2 linked regions of the Oryzias latipes genome follow. The protein of the gene in region 1 interacts with the protein of each later gene in a pairwise test. Links are inferred from orthologs where the notes say so. Each region holds a gene or a part of one and is shown in the gene's direction. Other genes may lie near its edges.

Region 1 (4,130 bases):
TGTGTGGAAACACTTTTTACAAAGACATGTGACCATAAAGTGTGGTAGAATGTTCTAATAATGTTCTGTTTAGATTATTTTGTTGTGGGCTGAACTTTAGGAAACTAAAATGTCAATGGATTTGCCATTAATCCCTGTTCACTTGTTTGCTTGTACACATATTTAATTCACACTTTATTATTTATTTAATTTACACATTCTTGCAGGAGAATCCTTCACCTGCTCTACAGTACCCAGGTATTTATCACCGAGTCACACACTGGTTGATTTTTTGGCTAAAATGTCCTGAATCGATTTTCAGTCTATAAATCGTATCGTTCAAAATGAACCAATATCACCTATGAATCATATCAGCAACTAAAAAATATAATGATATGAATCAAATCATGGTTAAAATTTAACGTTACACCCCTACTTTCTAGTCTTTAGTGCCTTGAACTACAGACAACATATGATCATGTGTATATAGAAAAGCTAGAACATTGTTACTGAATTCTCCAAATCTGCTTTCCTTTTAGGATATAATAAACTTTATAATAAAAGTCCAATGATAAGTTAGTGTGAAGGAAGATTAGCTCAACAAATCGGGATGTAAATAGTTGGCAGGATCATTGTGAAAATTTAAACGATAAAATTATGGTTCGTAATAAATGTTCAGTTTCACATTCATTTTTCGAAAGATACAACTTTTTTTCACTAAATTCTTCAAAAAAACAGGACTGATGCTCAGTGTTTAAAACTCGTAAAACGGGGTTTTGGACAAAACTAAGTACTAAAATATCAGATTGACCTACACATCTGCAAACAGATCGCGTTTCTGACGAAGATTCAAATCGCTGATGCTAAACAATACCGAAAAATAAACCTGTTTTGTAGCATCTCTAAGCTAGTAAAGCGGTTAGCCGTTTCCAGCTTCTGCCTGCTAGCTTTAGGACCGTCACTGCGCGTTGAGCCCGTTTTCTGTGTAGCATTTTATAACCCCACGCGTACGTGTCAAATATCCGAATCTCGGTAATAACTGTCAGTTTTTAATTTGCAACGCCATACCTTACTGAGCTCCAGTCCGTCAAGGTGTTTCTTACTCTCTGCCATATTTCATTTGCCGAAAAAGGAGGGGGGTTTCCTGTGTGACCAATATCCTTTCGGTTGTTGGAACGGAGCGAGGTTGTACTCCAAAATGATCCATAGAGGGCGCTAATAGAGATTGGTTCCCATCTTTACAGGAGTAGGGGTCAAAGTTGAATGTTTGACAGAAATCTAAACATGGATTCCATATTTCATGAAAAAGTAGGTTTAAACAATTTACTTGTGACATTAAACTGAACGCCTTTACTCGTGTGTAGTCGGAGAGAGTAAAGACACTTAGCATTTATTTAGAGTTTGTGTTTAGCCGGTGCTAGCTTCAATCTAATGTTATTTTGGCTTTATTCAGACTGCTAATGCTAACTCACTTGCTAACCAGGTGTTGTTAAGTTTCTTTAAAAGCTAATAGAATGAAGTTAGAAAACGAGTTTGCGGTATTTATTGTACACTTCGACTCCACCAATAATTATTAAAGAAAAAGGATACTAAAGTTGTATGTTGCTCGTTGTTTAGATGTTTGAAACATTATTTATTTTTTATTTATTTTTTTGTAGTTGCTTTAGCTTTTTGTATAATCTATCTCCAAGGTTTTGTAAGTTTTTGCACTCCATTTTGAAAAAGTGGAGACCTTTTTTTTTCTCAATACGTTTACGCAGTTATTCTTTGTTTTCAGCAAGAGGGTTCCTTATGTGCCCAGCACTGCCTCAACAACCTTTTGCAGGGGGAGTATTTTACCCCTGTAGACCTGTCCTCAATTGCTCATCAGCTTGACGAAGAGGAGAGAATGAGAATGGCAGAAGGAGGTATGGGTAGTGAAGAGTACAGGACCTTCTTACAGGTAAGTGGGGACAGGTAACAGATGTTTTCTGCAGTGGTACATGTATTTAAACAACTGTTTTAATAATAACTTTATAGCAGCCATCTGGAAACATGGACGACAGCGGATTCTTTTCAATACAAGTATGTTTATGTGCTTTGTCATATGATCATTAGCAATCAACTTTACAAGATTGTCTTATCACTCCTTATGACTGATTTTTATAGGTAATTAGCAATGCTCTCCGAGTGTGGGGATTGGAGTTAATTCTCTTCAATAGCCGGGAGTACCAGAGCTTGATGATAAATCCAATGTAAAGTTGTATTTTCAAGACTTCCTTGTATAGCAAGTCGATCCCACACCCACATTTAAATCCTGACTTGATGTCTTTGCCTTTAAGAAACGAGAAGGCCTTCATTTGCAATTATAAGGAGCATTGGTTCACCATACGCAAGCTTGGACAACAGGTATGTCGATTTTTATTTTTTTACTTTTCAATACGTGTGTTGATGCTTAATTTACTTATTTAATTATTATTACAGTGGTTTAACTTGAATTCACTCTTGACTGGACCAGAGCTGATATCAGACACATATTTAGCTCTTTTCCTGGCACAGCTACAACAAGAAGGTATTGTAAAGCCGACTTGTTTACACTATTGCACCTTTTGGTACACAAATACAAAAATAATGTATTTCTGCAGGATATTCCATATTTGTGATCCAAGGGAATCTTCCCGAATGTGAAGCAGAGCAGATTCTCGGAATAATGCGGGTTCAACAACAGCAACGGCCCAGGCTAATTGGAGAGGATGAGGCTCAGACAAGTTCAGGGTAGGTTTGTGGAAAATGGTCCTCGCTTGGATTACATTAGGTCTTGTTTGGACATAATACATGTCTGTTTTTAGAAGCAGATCCGTTGCTCGGGGGCAAATGGACGTTGTATCAGATGAGGCTGTGGATGACGATGAAGAACTAAAGAGAGCTCTGGCACTCAGCAGACAGGAAATGGATGTGGAAGATGAAGAAGCTGACCTTCGCAGGGCCATTCAGCTCAGCATGCAAGGTGTGCCATTTCAAAGCTCCAGGCTGATTTGAAAATATTTTATTATATTGGAATTTTTTAACCCTTTTTTTGACGTTTTTCCTTTAACTAGGATCAGGCATGAGTAACAAATCTTCAGAGTCTGATGTGGGAAATGTGAAATCCGAAAAACGGACTGTACAGAGTTCTACATGTGGAGATAAACCAGGCCAGAATGAGACACTTACTGCTGAGGAGCTGAGGAAGAGGAGACAAGCTTATTTTGATCGGTAGGATTTGATCTGTAAAACTTGAATTTAACAAAAAAAAAAACTTTCAGTAATATGTGTACACATGTTCAAAGGTCTTTTTTTAGTGAGCAGAAAGGAGAAATGTGCCTTATGAACCAGACTTTCGTATTATCTTTCAGGCAAGCACAACCAAGCATTCCACGACAGTTAGAAAGTCATGCAACCAGTGACTCTGGTGAGTAAACTCTATTTAAAATTCAAAACACCCTATATGTATAACACCCATTATATACAGTTTTTTGCATATCAGAATGAAAATGTAGATATTATTTTCATGTCAGAACAATAACCCAAGTATCCATTTTTTGCCCCTAACACCAGAAAAATCCAACTCTATGGAGGACCAACAAGAAAAAGACACCAAATAAAGTTGTGAAAGCTTTGCTGCTTTTGTCTACCAACGCTCTGAACTTGAAACCCTGTACAGGGGTTGGCTTCTCTCCATTCTCTAACCTTTTGCAAACGCAAACATACTGCAGCCAGAAGGCCGACACATGGTTTCCTTCGCTGGGTTTGCTGATGGGCAAGGGAAAGGCAGCACTTGGTCAAATCAGACCTCAGTGTGGTACAGAGATGGGGGAAAAGGGTGATCGCTGGACTTAAAAATGACTCATAATGTAGTTATTCCAAGTTTTCAATGGCCTTTTTTTATTTTACCATAGAGCCTTCTATTTCTTTACATTCTGGTTTTTGTTGTCTTAATTTTTTTTGAAAACATAAAGAGAAAATGAATGAAAAATGGGTTAACTTTTATGAAGTTGGATTCTAACAAGATGAATGAATGAAAGCCATAAGAGACCAATGTTTTAATCATTCGTTATATCTTTGTGGATAACAGGGTGTCCCGCCGTATACATGGGTTTGTGGAACACACGTGGAACGGAAAACCTAGCCCA
Region 2 (3,388 bases), on another chromosome or scaffold:
TTTGACTCAACAACTCACCTGGTGAAGAAGTTTGTTCTCCATACCAACTACCCAGGACATTACAACTTTAATATGTAAGTATCTGAGCTCTTCTTCTTTGATATTTTCTTTTTTCCCTGCCTGCTTGTGTCCTAATGTTTCTCTAGAATATCAGACACGTCTTGTTTTTCTCTCATGTTTTTTCACTGCTCTCTTGATGCAGATATCATCGATGTGACTTTAGGATTCCTCTCATCATCAAAAAAGGTGGAACGATTTGAAATCATGAGTCTGATCTGGACTGATATTTTCCGTGAGGTTTAAAGATAATTAATACGGGGATCTCTGCTTCCTGTTTTAGAAGGAGCTGATTCTCAGGCTGAGGACTGCATCTTAACCACCTACAGCAAGGTCAGTTCTGGAGAGATTATCTGGTCCAAAGGTGCCGGTTCCAGAAAGCTTAACTGAGATATCCAGTTTTGGGGTTTCCTGTCCTCTGGTTGTTTTGAGCCAGGAAGAGAATATCTGTCTGTTAATGCTCCCTGTTGTCATTAAAAAACTAACGTGAAAGTCAAAGACATCTTGGAGTTGGTCTGATCAGCTGTTGAGGATTTTTTTTTTGAATCTCTCCTAGTGGGATCAGATTCAGGAGCTGCTGGGTCACCCTATGGAGAAACCTGTGGTGCTACACAGGTAGGGGAATCTCCGTCCCTTTAACCCTTGTGCTAGCTTGTGGGGTCCAGATGACCCCACTCCCAATGATAACGTGCCTCCAAGGCACGTTATCGTTGGGAGCGGGGTCATCTGGACCCCACAAGATAGCACAAGGGTTAAAGCTGCGAAATTCAGATGGTATTATTGCCAGGGAGGCGGTGAGAACTGAGCATGCTCACAGGCATCTGTTTCCAGGTCGTCATCGGCCAATAACACCAACCCGTTTGGCTCCACCTTCTGCTTCGGACTGCAGAGGATGATCTTTGAGGTCAGTTCCTGTTTCTGTTGGGTTTGCAGAGCCTTGATGGCAAAAAACATGCAGATTTACTGAATATTTCTTTATTTGGCTGATATCACAGCAGGGAATATGCCAGTTATTTTGCTTTAAAAGCCTTAAAAGTAGCCGGCACCCGGCGAAGGTTCACTGCCTGCAAGTGAAGTAATCCCCGCCTACTTTTTGACGACAAACAGAAGTTTCATTTAGTGCCCCGCAGAAAAATGAGCGCTCAGTGCTGAGCACTCGCCAATTGCAAGCATTTATTTCTGTTTGAGGAGTAAAAGTTAAAGGGCTACAGCATAAATGTCCTCTTCCACTGTGTGCGCGCGCGAGGTACACAAGAGCATGCGGCGTGAGGGCGCTACCCCCTCCTGTAATTCACCTCTGTGTGGCGTTTGGCTGATGAAGCAGTGGGATCCACACCAAACTGGAGGATGAAGCTGCTGGGCTCGCAGCAGCAACAGAAAGTCTCCTAATAAAAAAGTGTCGATCTGGAAACAGCTGTTTGTTAGACACTGATGCTATGGTGCTGTGATGGTCTGATGTCGCGTGTTGTCAGCAGGTGACCACAAACTGATTTAATGTCAGACAATATTTTTAATGGACTGGATATTAAGACGTGGTGGATAAATACATAAAAAGGATATTTCACAGGTTTAATAACAGACATGACTCCACGGTATATCAAAGATAGCAGCCACTATTGCAGCCTGCATCTTCACTCTCAATGACATAATGGCTGCCATCTTTCAGACTGTTTTTTGTTAAGATTTAATGTAAAAATTAATTACCTGGGGGCAGAATTAGGGGGAAAAAAGTGCATAAAGGAAAATGAAAAAAAAAATGGAACACTTCATTGATGGTGTCAATTTACTTCCCTTCCTCAAAGGTTTTAGAAGCTGAAATAATGCTCCAGATGTCTGGAAAATGCACATAAAAAGCCATAATTTTCAAAATGTTCCAGAGGAAGAACCCCCAGACCCCCCCCTCAGTCAACCCACGAGCTTAAAGTTTCCTTAATTATGAGAAAAATGCTAGCAGAACATGTTAAAAACACCCTAAAAACCCACAATTTTCATAGGAGTGGGTGGTTAAGACGTGCTCATCAAATGTTGTGTGACGTCACTCCTGTGTCTGCTGCTCCACAGGTGATGCAGAACAACCACATAGCTTCAGTCACCCTCTACGGTGCTCCTCGGACGAGCAGCCAAGCCCGAGCTGAGTCCAGCGGCAGCTCCCACTGAACAAGTGGGGTGCTCCTGGAGTTTCTCATCCACAGCCACATTCTGAGCCCAGCAGCCCTGATCGAAAACGCGACTCAACTCAGAGGGTTTGCACCAAACCGAGAAGCTTCCAATCCTGGGTCAACAGGACCCCTGAGAGCGAAGGGGTGGTCCATGCTAACGGTTCAGAGCGCCACGGCGCCGCAGAGCTCACCTGCTCCTGTTCTGTGAGGTCCTTGGGATCTCATCTGCTGAGGATCATTTAACAGACCACACACACACACACACACACACACACACACACACCACTGGTCAGCCCCCTCTGCTGAACCACAATGGACCTCCAGATCCACAGAAGAACCATTGGAGCCAAACTGAGAGTCACAGAGGGGAGAATCTCATCCAGAACAGGGGGTCTCCTTCTTCCTCGTCCTCCTCCTCCTCCTCCTCCCTGGGGCGTCTGTAAACACAAAGCACGCTGAACAACCCTGCTCACAAACATCTGTGTGTGTGGTTTTGCTTCTGTTTTTTTTTTTGGTGTGACTGCTGAATGAAAGGAGACTCATAAGCACAAGTTTGTGATGTTTCAACTCGCCGCTTCCTGAAGTTCACAGTTACATTTGCACTAAAACACACCGTCTTACTTGATTGTGCGACATCCTCAGTGTTCAACGTATGCGTTTGTCCTTCCCCCCCAACCCCCCACTTGTTTTCATCGTTGCATTTAACTGGTAGATCACGATCCTCTTGTTTCCTTTCTTTCTTTGCCAAATGCCAAAGCCAAAGATTTGGGGTGTTTTTTTTTGTGTGTCAAGTCTACAGTCTTGACTTGTGTTGTCGCTACGGTAACGCCTTCTTAACGATTCAACTCGTCCTGCTGTTGTGAACGAGCTTCGTCCTGGAGCTGAATCCATTTTTCTGAAAGGAGGAAGATCAGAAGTTGTTGTTAACGTTTAGTTATCATCCCTGTTGTTGTTAGTTAATGTAAAGTGTTGCTTTGAACACACTCTGATTTGAGCTTATGTTTCGCTGAGCTCCATCGTTTTTTCCTACATTTTGTCTGACATGAAACTTATTCAGTTTTCTGTGACCATCAAGGATATTCTTCAACAAATTTAAGCTCTTTCCTTTCAGTTTCAGGTTTTAGGCAGGCGAGAGAAGACATTTTTCAGTATTAGTTTTTTGATGAAAGCTG

The links.
Region 2: the proteins of ataxin-3 (region 1) and c6h16orf70 interact in binary tests that used the Homo sapiens proteins (3 or more experiments, as listed by UniProt). The link is inferred for Oryzias latipes from reciprocal best matches to the Homo sapiens genes ATXN3 and PHAF1.

The regions. Positions count from the first base shown.
Region 1 is NC_019880.2:12,489,052-12,493,181, reverse strand, and holds the start of ataxin-3, read left to right. Parts: upstream 1-1,198; 5' UTR 1,199-1,242; coding exon 1,243-1,287; intron 1,288-1,756; coding exon 1,757-1,921; intron 1,922-1,998; coding exon 1,999-2,043; intron 2,044-2,127; coding exon 2,128-2,213; intron 2,214-2,300; coding exon 2,301-2,367; intron 2,368-2,442; coding exon 2,443-2,530; intron 2,531-2,603; coding exon 2,604-2,733; intron 2,734-2,807; coding exon 2,808-2,965; intron 2,966-3,056; coding exon 3,057-3,213; intron 3,214-3,353; coding exon 3,354-3,409; intron 3,410-3,555; coding exon 3,556-3,602; 3' UTR 3,603-4,130. Other genes in the region: E3 ubiquitin-protein ligase UBR1, read right to left, coding at 1,048-1,092. UniProt on the Homo sapiens protein: Deubiquitinating enzyme involved in protein homeostasis maintenance, transcription, cytoskeleton regulation, myogenesis and degradation of misfolded chaperone substrates.
Region 2 is NC_019864.2:26,104,940-26,108,327, forward strand, and holds part of c6h16orf70 (UPF0183 protein C16orf70 homolog), read left to right. Parts: coding exon 1-74; intron 75-202; coding exon 203-246; intron 247-340; coding exon 341-390; intron 391-613; coding exon 614-672; intron 673-888; coding exon 889-961; intron 962-2,118; coding exon 2,119-2,214; 3' UTR 2,215-3,388. UniProt on the Homo sapiens protein: Plays a regulatory role in autophagic activity. In complex with BCAS3, associates with the autophagosome formation site during both non-selective and selective autophagy.